Linked DNA regions of Lonchura striata. Each later gene encodes a partner of the first gene's protein in a complex. Links are inferred from orthologs where the notes say so. Each region holds a gene or a part of one and is shown on either strand. Other genes may lie near its edges.

Evidence for each region.
Region 2: INTS6 (region 1) and INTS9 share a complex: the UniProt entries of both Homo sapiens proteins name them as parts of the integrator complex. The link is inferred for Lonchura striata from reciprocal best matches to the Homo sapiens genes INTS6 and INTS9.

What each region holds. Positions count from the first base shown.
Region 1 is NC_134604.1:63,358,454-63,365,740, forward strand, and holds the start of INTS6 (integrator complex subunit 6), read right to left. Parts: upstream 3,035-7,287; 5' UTR 2,982-3,034; intron 2,919-2,981; exon of another isoform or gene 2,671-2,918; 5' UTR 2,621-2,670; coding exon 2,510-2,620; intron 2,275-2,509; coding exon 2,197-2,274; intron 1,479-2,196; coding exon 1,329-1,478; intron 1-1,328. UniProt on the Homo sapiens protein: Component of the integrator complex, a multiprotein complex that terminates RNA polymerase II (Pol II) transcription in the promoter-proximal region of genes.
Region 2 is NC_134605.1:111,908,726-111,916,345, forward strand, and holds the start of INTS9 (integrator complex subunit 9), read left to right. Parts: upstream 1-4,572; 5' UTR 4,573-4,664; coding exon 4,665-4,673; intron 4,674-7,620. UniProt on the Homo sapiens protein: Component of the integrator complex, a multiprotein complex that terminates RNA polymerase II (Pol II) transcription in the promoter-proximal region of genes.

The DNA.
Region 1 (7,287 bases):
CTCCACATGTGGAATGGAGCAAAAACATGCTTAAGTGACAGTGGGTTCAAGCCCAGAGAGACTTACAATCAGAACAGATCAGACAAAGAAGAAGTCTTTGCTTCACAGGCAAAAGAGCAGCTATCGCAGTAATAAACACTACTAGTGAGTCAAAATAATCATGACAACTCAACTGCCCACTTGAGTAGCTGAGCACAGCTGGTTCACTTAGAGCAAATTATTTGACATAGGTTTAATTAGAGTAATTATCAGTAGCAATGGGAAAAAGCAGTATTTTGTGTAGGGACCTACATGGGTTAAGTGTTCAAGAAAGATTAATAAAGCACTTGTAGCTAAAGGAAAACACCAGAAAAATGGGAAAATTACACACAGATGTATAAAGACATCAGATGGTCACAGGAAAAAATCCCATGTGTGGAACTAGCCCTTTTTCAAAGTTTCATCACTGAACAGGCATTTTAAAAGTGCTTAGGCTCACTTGATCATCTCATGGTAAAGCCATATAATGCAGCATGACAAATTTCCTTCATAAACACATGTGGTATGTTATGATAAATCCTGCTTAGACCGGACATAGTGGGGGAAAAACGGGGACTTGTGTTCACAGCCACATTCCCATCTCAAATACCAAAAGCAGAACTAAGTATTAATCCTCAGATAGTGGACAAAGAATTACATGAGAATAACAAACAAAAAAGAGAGATTCAAGTTGGTATGCCCCACATGAAAAGTACTAGTAACATCCTTCATGTGAAACAAATCCAGGCTTGGATCCAGCAACAGAAAGAACTCTGTATGAGTCCTAAGGCATATGTTTAAACTATAATGTCTGTATTTTAGCAGCTCATGAGCATGAGAATGCTCACACCAAACAACTCCGGTTTTAAAGGGATAGCTGCAACAGCGAGATTTAAAAAGCACAGCTTCTTGAGGCTCTGATACAACAGGCAGGTTTATAAAAATACACATATGCAGAGAAATGTTGTGGTAAACTCACTGGAAAGACAGTGTTTTGAAAAAGTGCTCCTTCCAGTACTTTTGGATATGCAGTGTTGTTAGAAAAAAGGCTCATCTCCCAAACTGTTCAGCACTGTATAGAGAAAGCAAAGTTTTCATAACCCTATCAGGCTTACCAGCTAAGGTACTGAACACACTCAATAAAAAAAGGAAAAATTTGAACTGAAAAGGTCAACTTGGAGGCTATATCACACTAAAAAGCTGGCCTCATATGGAATATTCCATGAATATGCCACTTTGGACAACTAGCTAATTGCTGTCTCTGGGAAGTTTGGTTTTAAGATTTTTCCACCTAGTAACAGTCAACCTACCTGCCCATAGTTGTCTATGCCAGTTACTAATCTATTTAAGTTTAATAAATCAAAAGCTGTCCTTAGGGACTGGCCAAGAGTCGTAAGCCCTTCAGCTTGAAGGTTTTTCAGTTCATTCATAAACGTTGCATGGTTTTCCTTCCAGCCAGCCTGCAAAGAGAAACGTGAAAAGATTTATTCCACAGATAGAAGTTTTGCTTTCTTGTTAGGCTACAAAGAGCCTTCCCTGCTGCATGCAGCTCACTACAAATGATAACAAAACACCTCAGAAGTTAGTAGTATTTGATGTTGCTCCAAAAAAGCCTAAAATGATGCATTTCTCTTAATCCTCAGAACTCCCATTTACCAAAGGCGCATTTTCACTTTGTTCCACAGGACAGTTCTCTGAGGACACCGGTGCCCAAACCTTAGAGTTATATACATCACCTTCCCAGAGCCCTGCCCAGATGGAAGCCAACTGCGCTGTGAAGCGACCTCCAACAGGTTCACCGTCCTGTGTCATGTGGACCCACCGCCCCCTTCCCCCGCGTCGCCCCCGCCCTGCCGCGGCGGGGCCAGGGAAGTGCCGTCCCCTTCCGAGTCCGGGGCTCTCAGGGCTGAAGTCGGTCGTTCTCCCGGCTCGCCCCTTCCAAGCCGAACTCTCCTTGGAGTTGCTGTCACTTCTCCCAACTTGAATACATATCCCCCACAGTTCATTGCTGCTCGCACACACCGCACAGGGGAAAAGCGTCGGCCATGTTGATGTCAGCGCCGCCGCCGGAGCCCGTGTGTGCCGCGCTCCCCCGGACCGCCGGCAGCCGCGGCGAGGCGGGCGCGGGGCGGACGGGCCGGAAGGAGGCCGGGGAGCAGGGGGGTGAGCGGGGGTTACCTTGATAGCGTAGGGAGGCTCCTCGAAAGTGACCAGCATGTACCTGTCTCCCCTGCTGGCCGGGTCCCGGGCTCGGAGCTGCGGCGCGGGGGACAAAGCAGAGGGTGAGCCGAGAGGCGGCGCCGCCGCCGGAGCCCCCCGGCTCGGCCCGGCCCTCCTCTCCCTCCCGCACTCACACGCACTCGCTCGCTCCCGCCCTCGCCCCGCGCCCCCGGCCCAGGCAGCCCCCCGCTCCCTGCCGCCCCCTCCCCTCCCCGCGCAGCCACTCTCGCTCGCTTTCTCTCGCCTCCTCTCGCAAGGCAGAGCCCGGTACCTTCATGAAAGTCTCTACAGCGCCTTTGGCTATGTCCAGATAGGTGGTGCCCAGATGGGTGCGCTGGTTCATGGAGGCGGACGTGTCTATCAGGAAGAGTAAGATGGGCATAGTGCGGAGGGGCCGGCGGCCGGACGGCTACATGGACAGCGGGCGGGGGGCTGAGGGGAGAACCGTCAGGGGAGGCGAGGGGAAGGAGGGGAGAGAGAGAAGACGGGGGACGGGAGAGGAGTAAGTGGCTGTGAGTGCTGTGCACGGGGAAGGGCGCCTCCCCGCTGCCCCTCTGCCGAGGCGGGGGGGAAGGGGGGGCAGCCCTGCCTGCCCTGCCCTCCTTTGTGTGAGGGGCCTGCTCAGCCCAACACAGGCTGGTTTATGAGGGAGAGGCGGATAGGGCTGCGCTGCTGGCTAACCTTCCCCCCACCACCACCTTCCTCCTCCACCGCCCGCCCTCCCCTCCCCCTGTTGATGTTACTCAGAAGTTTCAGGCGGAGCAGCCGCAGCCCCGCTACCCCAGCACTTTCTCGCTCTGACTGAGGCGCTTCCTCGCTCGCCTCCCGCTTTTAAGGCAGCCTGGGTAGGTCGGCCCCGCCCCCAAGGACACGTCCCCGTCCCACGTGACTGTCTCCCAGCTCCACCATAGGGACCCTGTAGCCGCTCATTAGCATATTCAAATCGGAGGGGCGGGGCGGCCGCAGCCGGCGGGGGCGCGCAGGCGCAGCCGCGGGCGGGGGGGCGGCCGGGGGACACGGGGCAGGGCGCGCTGGTGCGCGGCCCCGTGGGTGCGCTGCGGGCGCCGGGCATGCGGAGGGGCAGCGCGGGAGGGACCCGCGGGGAGAGGGATCTGACGCCGCCGCCCCTCTCGCTGAGCTATTTCGAGGGCTGCGGGGTGACGCGTCCCTCGGGAGCAGCGCCCTGCCCGACCCGCCCGCTCGGGGAGGGCGGGGGTGTCCCCCGGGGAGCGCCGGGGCGGTAACTCCGGCGCTGGCGGCTTGTCGCCGCCGGGAACGGCGGGTGAGTCACGGGGGTGGGAAGGAAGGAGGGAGGGGAGAGGGCGGGCACCGCCCCCCGCCCCGTCTCCGGGCGCCGCCGGTCTCCTTGGGGCTGCGGCAGGTCCCCGGCTGCCCCCGCCGCGGGTGCTGCCCCTGGGCGGGACGGGGCAGTGCCTTGGGGCTCCGGGACAGCGGGGCAGCAGCCGGGTGCTCGGCAGTGCCTCCGGTCCGCGGAGCCCCGCCGGCGCCGCGGGAGCGGGGGATCGCTCCTCAAGGGAACTTCGGCTCCTGGCAGACAGCACGGGGGTCGCCTGGCTTGTCCACTGGGTTTAGGGTGGAGAAGACGGTCTGGTACCATTTAGATGATGAATTCCCAAAGACATGATCTGGCCTCTCACTCGATCCTTAGGGGATAAAAAATTGGCTAGCCTTAGCTGTGACCTTTTTCCTTCCATAGGAGCAGTGATTAATACTGAGGTTTCATCCATGCTAATACACTCCAAATTTACTTCTTATAAATCTTGTAATTATGGACTGTTCCTAACCAATTAAAGGCAAAGATCTCTGTTCTCGTTTTTTGGCAATTTGTTAGGGTTTGGGGTTTTTTTTCCGCAGCAATTGAGTCTGCTCTTTATGCTCACAGCCTTGGAGCAGTAACTCTAGAGCCATTTCTTAGCATAATCTGTTCAGGAGAATGCTCTGTTTCCTATCTGACTGATTTTTTTTTCCTTCCTGATCCAGCTGATGTGCTCCCTCAGCTACTGCTCTAGAAGGTTTAAAGCAGCTGTGCTGCTACCCTCTCCCAAGACAAAATTAGCAGTGTTCTGGCTTAATTCATCTTGGTCTTCCAGGCAAGATTTGTGTCTTGTTAGGCAAGAACTTGATTTGGCTTTTCTATTATCTTTTTTTTTTTTTTCCCTTCTTTTTAAGACTAACGGAAGACTAGCATTTCTAGGAAGAGAGAGGGATAGAATCACATTTCCATTGCAAATAGGTATTCATTCTTATGCTTTCATGCAGCTTATTTTGGCTTTCCTGTTGGTGCTGCACCTGTGACCTGTGCCATCCTTTCTTAGGCTTTGGGGTGAAATCAAGGACACTTCCTTTCAGCCCAGTTTACTATTCAAGGCCGTTAAAATATCTCCCATCTTAAGGACCCTGGGAGAGCTGGGAAGGAATCTTTGGAGTTGGTGCAGTCCAAAATACAGCAACTTTGGCAGTAACTTCTTTTACTATGATTATTTTTCACTGTGGATTATGTTGCTGGTGATGAGAGTGGCCAAGCTCATGTGTACCCAGTGGCTCTTGAGCTGCTTGTGTCTTTCCAACTGTTCATTATTAGACCTCTAGCAGTGGTACTGGGTCTCATGGCCTGCATCAAGGCTGTTCTGGTACAGGTTCTACTGTTTAATCTGAATCCCTCTTGTCAGAGGGAGAAAACCAACAGGTGCCACAGAGGGTTTTTGCTGGGTTACTGGCAATGCAGCTGCATGCCAGTCCCTGTTACACAGTAAAACATTTGGACTATCAGAGAGGCTTGGTTCACAGTCATTTTCTCTCCACAGAGATATTTTGGGACACCTTCTGTCCCCTCAGGTCCCCAAAGAAAATTAAAGGTATCTTGAACAGCTCCTAAGCAAGACTGGTTGCTGGAAGAGTAGTAATTGTCTCCCTAAGGTGGTGGGATTAAAGTTGTAGGCTGCAGTGCTGCTTAAGCAAATCATGCCTTGGGATTAGTAGTTTTATTTGGGAGTAATGTTGACTGAGGGTATGATAATGGCCTTTAATTATCTGCCTTTTAAATTTCTGAGATAGGCACATTGTTCAGACATGCCATATTTGTATGTTGACCATCCTAATAAAATCATAATCACTTCTATGTGTAAAACATCATGCATATTCTTGGGGAATGGTCTGAAAAATGGGAAACTTCTGGAGTGGTTCCTTTTTCAAAGGGCTGGAAAATAGGCATTTTGGAGTCCTTGTCATATCAAGAAAATGTCATGGTGGAAGCAGCCTGTACCATGAAGATGTTGCCTAAATCCTGAAAGGCCATTTGTTATTTTTATTTTTTGTTGCCAGTAAATGAAGAGAGATCAGCGAAAAAGCCATGTTCATTCATGGTGGTAGTTCTAAACCAGCATGGATTCTGAGTCAACTTAGAAAACTGCAAGCTGTAGGCATGCTGTAAATATCTTGCCAATGCAAGAGAAAAGTGAGACTGAAGTAGCTGGACCCACTCTACCTCTAGTTCCCTCAGCCCTAGTAATTATCACTGATGGAAGAATCCCACAGAAAAAACTTATACACAGTTCCAGTAGGATTCATACAAGGAAGCTAATTCACTGTACTTTTCTGTATGCCTTTTGCTGTTATCTTTGAGGCCATTTGGAGCAATCAGTCCTTCCCACTCCTATGCATCTTAGATCCATATTAGATCTGCTATAGGGCAGAACCACGGCCAGGTGTGTGTTGTCTGTGGTAGGCGTTGGTACTTTGCTGCTGGGAGCAGGCCAATTTGATTAATACTGAGAAAGAATCTGTCAAAGACAGGTAATCAACCCAAGCCTTAAGTGTGCATCAGTCTCTTGATGTGAGAGTCATAATGGCTAGTACTGCCATCAGAGTTGCATTTATAAATCTATGTGGGAGAATGGCTGCAAAGGAGCAAACCCCAATGATATTAGTGCTTATGCTCATTACTGCCAGAGCTGACACAGCTGAGCAGAGAGACAGAGTGAGGCTGCCACTGAAAATAGATGCATCTTTCTTTTAACTTTTTTTAATATGTTGGGCAAACTGATGCCCCATGCGAGCCAGTTCTACCTTCTCTCCTGAGTCAAGATGAATGATTTAAGCAAGATTCTGGCTGGAGAAGTACTCTTGCTGTCCTCATGATCCAAAAGATTCCACCTGCTTCCATACAGGTTTGTATTTCTTGTACATCCATGAAGAAGCATGAATGTATATGTATGCCTAAGAATATTTGTTTTCTCATCTTCAGAGAATTGGTGTTGCCCATTTGGGGACAAATAAGGTAGTATTGAAGGTGCAGATTTACTTTACATTTGAATGCTAAGTCAATAAACTGAAAATCAAATATAAGCGTAAAAATATACCTAAACCTCACCCCCCGTCCTAAACTTCATGCTTGAATGGAAGATGCTGCATTAATCAACTTCAAGCAGGTCTGAGAACTAAAACTGATAGTTTAACTTTTTTTTTTTTAATTGACTTTTTCCTCTGTATGGAATTATTTTCACAAAGAAAATTTCCAGATCTTAATCAGTCCGGGTCCTAATGATACAGGGAAATTTTTTGGAGTTTCCTTTAGAATATAGTTCTGTAGCCTTTTCAATTGTCATTAAACACTTCCCCCCATATTTAACAGTCATGTTTTCCATTTCCTTAATTTAATTCTACTGCATATCATTAAAACATATTTCTTTATACAGCATTCTGAGTTTAAATTTATCTTTTAATATTTGTGTCTTCTTTTTTTTAGTCTTCCTTTGGCCATGTTCTCTACATTGAACTCACTTGCTTTTTGATACAAATAAAATTTTATTGCTTACTTGTCTTGCATACATAACAGCATGTATTGTTGGGGGGGGGGGTTGTTTTGTCCTGTAGGGGTTTTTTACTAGTTTCAATGCAGGGGGGTTTGACCCTAATTTTTTTTTTTCCCCTCTTCCTGAAATTCTTACCAAAGATGAACTGATTAATCTTATAATTCAGGTAACCTAGGTAAACAGAAGACTTTTTTTATGTATATTCTAGGACTTGAAT
Region 2 (7,620 bases), on another chromosome or scaffold:
TCACAGACTGATTGCGAGTTCTGCTGCGGACTCCCTGTAGGAACCTGGGCAAGTTGATCCCTCTACACCTTTGTTTGCCACCTGCGAGAGGAAAAATAGCACTTTCTTTTCATATCCTGTCATTCTTGCTTGCATTGTTCCCCAAATTAAAAGCATTTGTCAAAACACTTATCTTTAGCATTAACCCTGGGAATTGCATTCACAGCTACCACACAACCCGTTTGCATGACTGAGTGCTCAGACACAAACTCTTAGTACACTTTGTTACCCAGCCATCCTAATTTAATACAAATCAGAAGGGAGCTTTAGTCAATACAGGAATATTAGAATGCTAAAATATAGTTTATTACTAATCCTACAAATAAAACCAGCTTTAGGGTTACGAGTTACACTGACCCCCTCCTGGAAAAAAAAATCAAATTCTCCTCATTATGTCCTAAAAATCCTGCTGTAATCACAGTATTGGTCTCACTGCATTGATAACCCACCAGATCATATTATCAGCATAGGTATAATTAAAGCCCAATCCCATGAGGACATGTATGCAGAATCCAATCCCCGCTCTGTTAAAATCAGCATAATGTGAAATAAACTTCAGGGACTTTAGAATCAAAGCTGCATGAAGTTATCGACAGGAGGAACAAAGACATCTGTCTTTTTGCAGTGAGATTCTTAAGCTGACATTATTTTGATTTCAAATTCTAAAACTTTGCAGATGAAAAAGATTTGCTACAGATGCCAATACTGTAGCCTGTCATTCTGTAATGTCCTTAAAAGCTCTGCACAGAAATTGCTGTGAAGTACAAGTTGCTTTCTTTAGATTAAAATGTGCTGCTGTTTCCTGAAAATTCATTTGGTTTCTAACATATACAACCAAATACCTTCCCCAATCCCTTGGTACAAGGAACAGTACAGCTTCCTCCTTTCTCATGGTTCAGTTTCATTAATTTTCCCAATTCTCCACCCAAAGACCCAAATTTCACCCCTGCCCCACTGACACACAACACAAAATGAGCAATCCCAAAAGTGAACGACAGAACAATTCTTGACAGTCACGCTTAAAAAAAATACATTTTATTAAAAAGTAAATTAGTATTAAAAACAAATTTCAGAGCCTCACTCTTCCCAAATCCAGACAGCAATGAAAAAACATACCAAACACTCCCATGAACCTATGGATTCATCACTATAAAGTAAACACTTTATAATAATTTAATTTTCAAAACACTGCACAGCTATCAACTTTTAATATCCCTTTGTAAGAGATCAGTAAGACCCACACAGAAACTGCCTTAAAAATAAGCTCCCTGCAGCTGACAGCAGCTACAGACTCCATGGAATTATCAGAATCACAATGCTAGAGAGATGCATGTTGTCCAGAAAGGTCAATAAACCCACGGAGTTTCTTGACACCGCTCAGTGAAGCAGTTGTAGAGAAAACCAGGCCTCATTCACACAAGATTTTCTCCCAGGTTTCCTTACCCCTCCTTAAAAATCCTGCTGTTTCACCTAGGATAGCATTCCTGTAACCCAGCTGGCAGCCTGCATACCACAACGTCGTCTAGACCTGCTGGGAACAGTGGGATGACACAGGAGTAAAAATGCTGATGCCTGTTCTGGTGCTTGCACTGGTGCTGAGGGAACGAGGGGAGGAAGAACAGGCAGCACGGAGTGAAACACAAGTTCCTTGCTCCCAGCCTCCTTCCCAGGCTCCTCGGGTAATTCTTTCAACCAGACAGAAAAAGTTGTGGCCATCACAGGGCTAAAAGAATAATCCTCACATAAGGGAAAAAACATTCCCAAACCCCAGTTTTCACATACAGAAACAAACCCTGCTCTTTCCCAGACATGCAAATAACAAATGCATCCCTGCACAGACGTTTTCCATCCCTTTCCTCCCTCTCCCCCGTCTCCATCTCAGAGATGTTTTCTTAGCAATTTGGAAGAGAAATGGTAAAAAGGGAGATGCGAAACACAGAAATAAATTAAGTTTGTTCTCTGCTGTTGACGGATTTGGTCTTAGCACGATGGGAGGAAAAAAAATATTAGGAGTGATAAATCCATATATACCTACTCCAAACTACACCCTGCTTCCCAAGGGACACGGTATAATGGTAAATAAGTATAGATGCAGTTCCTACTAATGAGGCAGGGTACAGCAAGGCCAAAGAAAATGCAATCATCTCGGGGAAAAAAAAACTGCACAGGACTCCTCCTTTCCCATCCACGGAGGAAATCAAATGCCAGCTGCACCATCCCAGGAAGGAAGCAGAGCCTGTACCTGATGAGCCCTGCAGAAATGAGCGAGTCATATCACGGGACCAGAGCAGGCACTTCAGGCTTTCACCAGCCCAACAATTGTCTGCAGAGCACAATTCCTAGCTCCGGTATTTTACATGGCATCATTTATACAAATTGCAGGGGTATTTTTCCCCAGTGTTTTAGTTTTTCATTCCCTCTATCTCCACTAGTTAGAAGCAGGGGACGTAAGTAGCGTCTCCCAGATCCGCGTTCCCTGGCCATCACTTTAACGCTTTCCTCCCTACAAAGTTTAAATCTCCCCGGTTTTTTGTTCATAAACGTTTTGTACTTAAAAGCCATCGAATCACACTCCCAGAGTTACCTGAACTGAGACAGACCCGACTCCACAAACATGCTTAAACCTTCATTTCCTCTTCCTTCTTCCTTCCCCACCCCCCAAACAGCATTTTTTTTTTGTCCCTAACACGAAAGAACTGGGGGAAAAAACAGCACGTCCAACCGAGGCTTTTCCAGACCTATCTCAAAGAACAAAATGATTCCGAAGGAGTGCTCTGCAAACATACCAAGAGGCACTCCACCAACTAGGGAAAAAAAAAAAAATGAAAGGAAAAAGAAGAAAGAAAGGAAAGAACCCATCAGACAAAACTGAGGTCGAGGAACTCGGCGGGGTCTGGCTCGGGTGTGTATTCGGCACCTAAACATACTCGCATCTTGTTTTGTTTTAACCCCGAAGCTGAGGCAAACACTCCAGCAGAATTTCCTGCCGCTTCCCCCCGACCGCTCCTGCGGTCAAACCGTGCTGACCCAAAACCATCCCGGACACGGGACACAAAACCATTCACCCGCCACCCCCGTTCCCCACCTCTTCCCAAGAAGTACAAAACAAACAAGCGTCTGACACCCCACCCAAGTTCTCCTCGCACATTTTGGGAATGACTTTCCTCCGGGTGCTCCTCCTCCCCCACCCGTTCCCACGTTAAACTCTCCGGCACACAGACACCTTTCGGGGGTTTCACGCCTTTGCCCTCCCAGAAAACCTCCCGAAGCCTGGGAACGGCAGGGTTTGGGGCACCTCTGAGCCCCGTTCCCCGACCTCCAGCGGCACAAAGCTCCCGAAAAGCAGCCGAAAAGGAGCCCCCGGAGCCCTCGAACAGCCCCAGCCAGGGCAGAGCTCCCCGGCAGAGCGAGGGGGCTCCGTAGCCGGCTCCATCCCCGATCGGAGCCTCCCTCCTTCCCCTGCCGTCCCCGGGGGTCCCCGGGACAGACAGCGCCGGGGGTCGCACCAGCTCACCCCAAAACTCCGCGGCGAGCAACACCCGAACAAACACCCCCAAAACCGCAGCACCCACCCAGGCTGAGGGGGCTCCGCGGCCGCCACTCCGTGCCCCACACCGGGGAGATGGGAGGAATCGGAATAGATATACAAATGGCAGGAGCAGCGAACCCCAAAGGCGCCCTGCCCTCCCGCTGCAGCCTCCTGGGGACACCTTCCTCCTCCTCCTCCTCCTCCCCCGATCCGGGGCACCCGCGGAGCCCCCCAAAAGCCGCGGCTCCAACTCTGCCGCCCGTGCTGAGGGGCTGCCCCTGCCCACCCCTGCCCGCCCCCGGCTGCCCCCCTCACGCACATCCCGCTCTCCGGCTCGGCGCGACTCCCGGCGGTGCGGGCGGAGGGGAGACCCCTTCCCGCTGCCCTGCCTCCCTCCAGCCCACCCACCCGCCCGCCCCCTCCCCTCGCCGCCGCCGCCGCTCCCCCCCCGTATCCCCCCGCGACACTCACCTCTGGGTGCTGCCGGCGCCTCCGCCTCACCATGGACCGGCGGAACTGGGGGGGTCCCCCCGCCCGCCCCCGCCCCAGATTGAGGGGAGATTAACGGGGGGCGCGGAGGGACGAGAACAATAGGGGGGAGGAAATCCCTCAGCCCCCCCACGCCCCCCGAGGACACAGCCCCCTCCCCGCCCGGCGCTCCTCCTGCCGCTCCCTCCTCCTCGCCCGCTCCCTCTCTTTTTTTTTGGGCTTTTTTTTTTTTTTTTTTGGCTCAATCACACCAGACCGACTGTCTTTGTCTGTCTGACAAGCGCCATGTTGATATCAACATCCGAGCCCCCACCTGCTGCAGCTGTGAGACCCTGGGACTTGTAGTTCCCCCCTCCCCAGGGTGACGGGGAGACCCGCGGCGCCGGGACTACAACTCCCAGAGAGCCGCGGGCGCGCGGCGCGCCAATGGGGCGGCGGGGCTGCGCTCGGGGCGGACTACAACTCCCAGCAGGCGTCGGGCGGCCATGACGTTATCTGAGAACGATGGGGAGGCGGGACTACAACTCCCATGATGCCCCGGGGCCGGCGGGGCGGGCGGGCAGGAAGGCGGGCAGGGTTGTCCCGGTAAATAGAACCGGTGGACGCGATGAAGCTGGTGAGTGCCCGGGGCGGGCGGCCATGAGGGCGGGGAGGGGGCTCGGCCTTCCCCCGGCGGCGGGGGGGGCGCTCCCCCGGTCGCCTCCTGGCTGCGCAGTCTCAGCCTCGCCGGGCGTGAGGGGAAACTGAGGCGCTGGAGTGGGGCCTGAGGGAAAAGGTGGGGGAGGAGATGCTGAGGGAGTTGGGGGGACTGAGGGATAAGGGGGTGATAGTGGGGCGGGGAGGGGCTGAGGGAGGGGCGGGGGTCGGCCCTGAGGTGTGGGGGAAGGCGGGGGTCGGCCCTGAGTGGGGAGGGTAAGGGGGGGGGGGGGGCGTTGCCCAAGTTTAAGGTGTTGGATAGGATCAAATCTTAGTAAGAGGAGGAGAAAATGTTTCTCAGCCTTCCCAGCCTTAAACATGAGTCTGGTTCGGAGCTGTCCCCTTGCACGTGTGGCTTCTGCTGGACTCTGCGAGGAACGTGAATAAATGCCTGTGGTTTGTGATGAAGACGTTTTCCATCTGCAGTGTGATAATACAGGGAGGTACTAACGACAACAACAAAAAAAATCAGCCTGGAACAGCTTTGCTAAGGGTGCACCTTGCTTCTGACAGGGGTTTTGGTTCTGATATTACAGTCTTCTGTCAGAATGTACATGACCCATGATATTGGTCTCCTCTCTTGAGCTGTTTCACATTCTTGGAGACCTTGGATTCAGGAGCCGATTTTTTTTCCAGGAAGAATTTCAGTTACACATAATGTGCTGCACTTCTTGGTCTGGAGGTGAAAACCCAAGCAGTTTTCAACATACCTGAGCACAACACTTGATTTATTTAATCTGAAGCGACACCATTACTCAATTTAAGATTGTCTCTTGGTTTTGAGACTGAGCAGTGTGTTATAACAAAGCTTCATAGAAGTAAATGTTCTGGTTTAAGACCTTTAGGAAACCACTCTCCGTGGAAGTGTGTACAATTAATTCCAGAGGCAGGTGGTCAAGGAGTTTGATCCTGCTTAATCTTACCTGTGTGATAAGGATCTGTGCAGGGATGGCTATTACCAGTGGGACAAAAACTGCAAAGTCAAGCACCCCTGGATGTGATTGTAGAGGCTGATAGAATTCAGTGGAAGAAAGCAAACTGGGAAATCTTTATTTAAAGACCCCACTGTAAATGGAGAGCTCTTCTAATGTTGAGAGTCTTGCATAGGGGTAGAGAGGGGAAATACAAACTCTGGAGTCTGTATTGCAACATTTTTAGCATTGTTTTTAAATTCAGGTACTGAGAATTATAAGACAAGGTATTTTACCTTATATTTTTCTGGAGATGTGTCTGAATTTGGGGTTGTGAGGAGACAAGTCCTCTTTTTTATCCTCTCTTTATCCTCTTTTCTCATAGATTTGGGTTGAATTTGGAAGAACAGGGTAGAGGTGAGGGACTAGTGGAATGTTCCCTGTCCATGGCAGAGGGGTTGGGATAAGATGAGCTTCAAGGTCCCTTCTAACCCAAACCATTCTGGGATTCTGATTGCAGATCTGATTCAGAATCTGGTGAAAACCTCAGACTCCCACAAACTCAAATGTGCTTTCACTCAGGCAATCCTCAGTGCTCATTTCCCCCCAGATTTTAAGCTGGCATGTGATACTAATACTGGAGGAATGCACTGCAGGATTTGTTTGCTTCACTTGGAGTTCCAAGCACTGCCTTTAACCTGCACAACTCTGAATGTTTTGGAGCTGCAAGTTTGAGCCACCATCTCTCTGCTCTCCATGAGATGCACATGGAATGGGATGTGTGTGGAGAACCTGCCCCTCCCAGGCCCTGAGCATCTGGAACCAGCCCCTCAACCACTGCCCCACTGCCAAACTTTCATCCAATTTGCAAATCCTGCCAGGAAAGCTGTGAGCTGGGTATATTTATGCCTTTTACGTATTTTGTGTCTTTTTTTAACTTTTGGAGTTAGGAGATGAGGCACCTTTGTGTGTTGGCTGCACCAGCCTTTAGCCATAAGGGAATCAAGCTAGAAGCAAGCAAATCTTGGAATAAAAAACTTGCATTTTAATCCAGTCAGGAATATGAAAGCTCTGGATCTGTTTTAAATAGTAACAAGTATAAACTGTGTGGAAATTATCACATTTATAATGTGTATAGAGACACACATTGTGCAAACACTTCCATTCCTGGATTCCTGATCCAAAAGTCTAACAGGGGTGCAGGCCCAGCAATGTCACTTGTGCAAACAGCTGTATAGAAAATACAAATTGCCTTTTTTATTTTTCTGTCACTGTCTTTGAATCTGGTAGAAAGAATCCATTGACTCCCAGGAATCCATTTGCCTCAGCAGACAGCCACGGAGAGAGATGACTTTAGCTGCTTTTAAAGAAGGAAAAAAGAAAGATTTTCCAGTTAGGTCATAGATGTCAGGGTAGTAATACTACTCATGATTACAAAAAAAGGCAAGAAAATATTTTGCTGATAAAAGTGGTGATATTTCATTGCCTTTTTTAATTACCAATAGTTTAAAAGCTACAAAAATAGAACTTATTTTTCCCTTCATTTCTTTCTATTTACTTCAATTTATAGCTTCATTTGTCAAAGTTCTGGTCTGGTGAGAACTTAATTTCACATGAGAGTGTTACATTTGTGAATAAACCAAGTGAATTCCTCACTCCTTCAGCAGCTTGGCTTTACATATTTTTTTAAACTTTACTAAAAGACAAAATGTAATGTAACTCCTTAATAATTAAGGCTTTGTGAATTTAAAGCAAAACTCTCTGTGATATTTTGAATTTAATATTTGAGGCTTAGTCAGTTTTACTATTTAAATAGAGTTTAAAGCAGGTTTTTGAGGAATGTATGTAAATAGACTTCTTGAGGGTTGTTAATCCAGACAGTTGCAGTCCTGTGTTAACATTATTGTGACCAGAGGTAGAAAATGAAATTATTAATCTCCCTTTTTCCACTTGGTA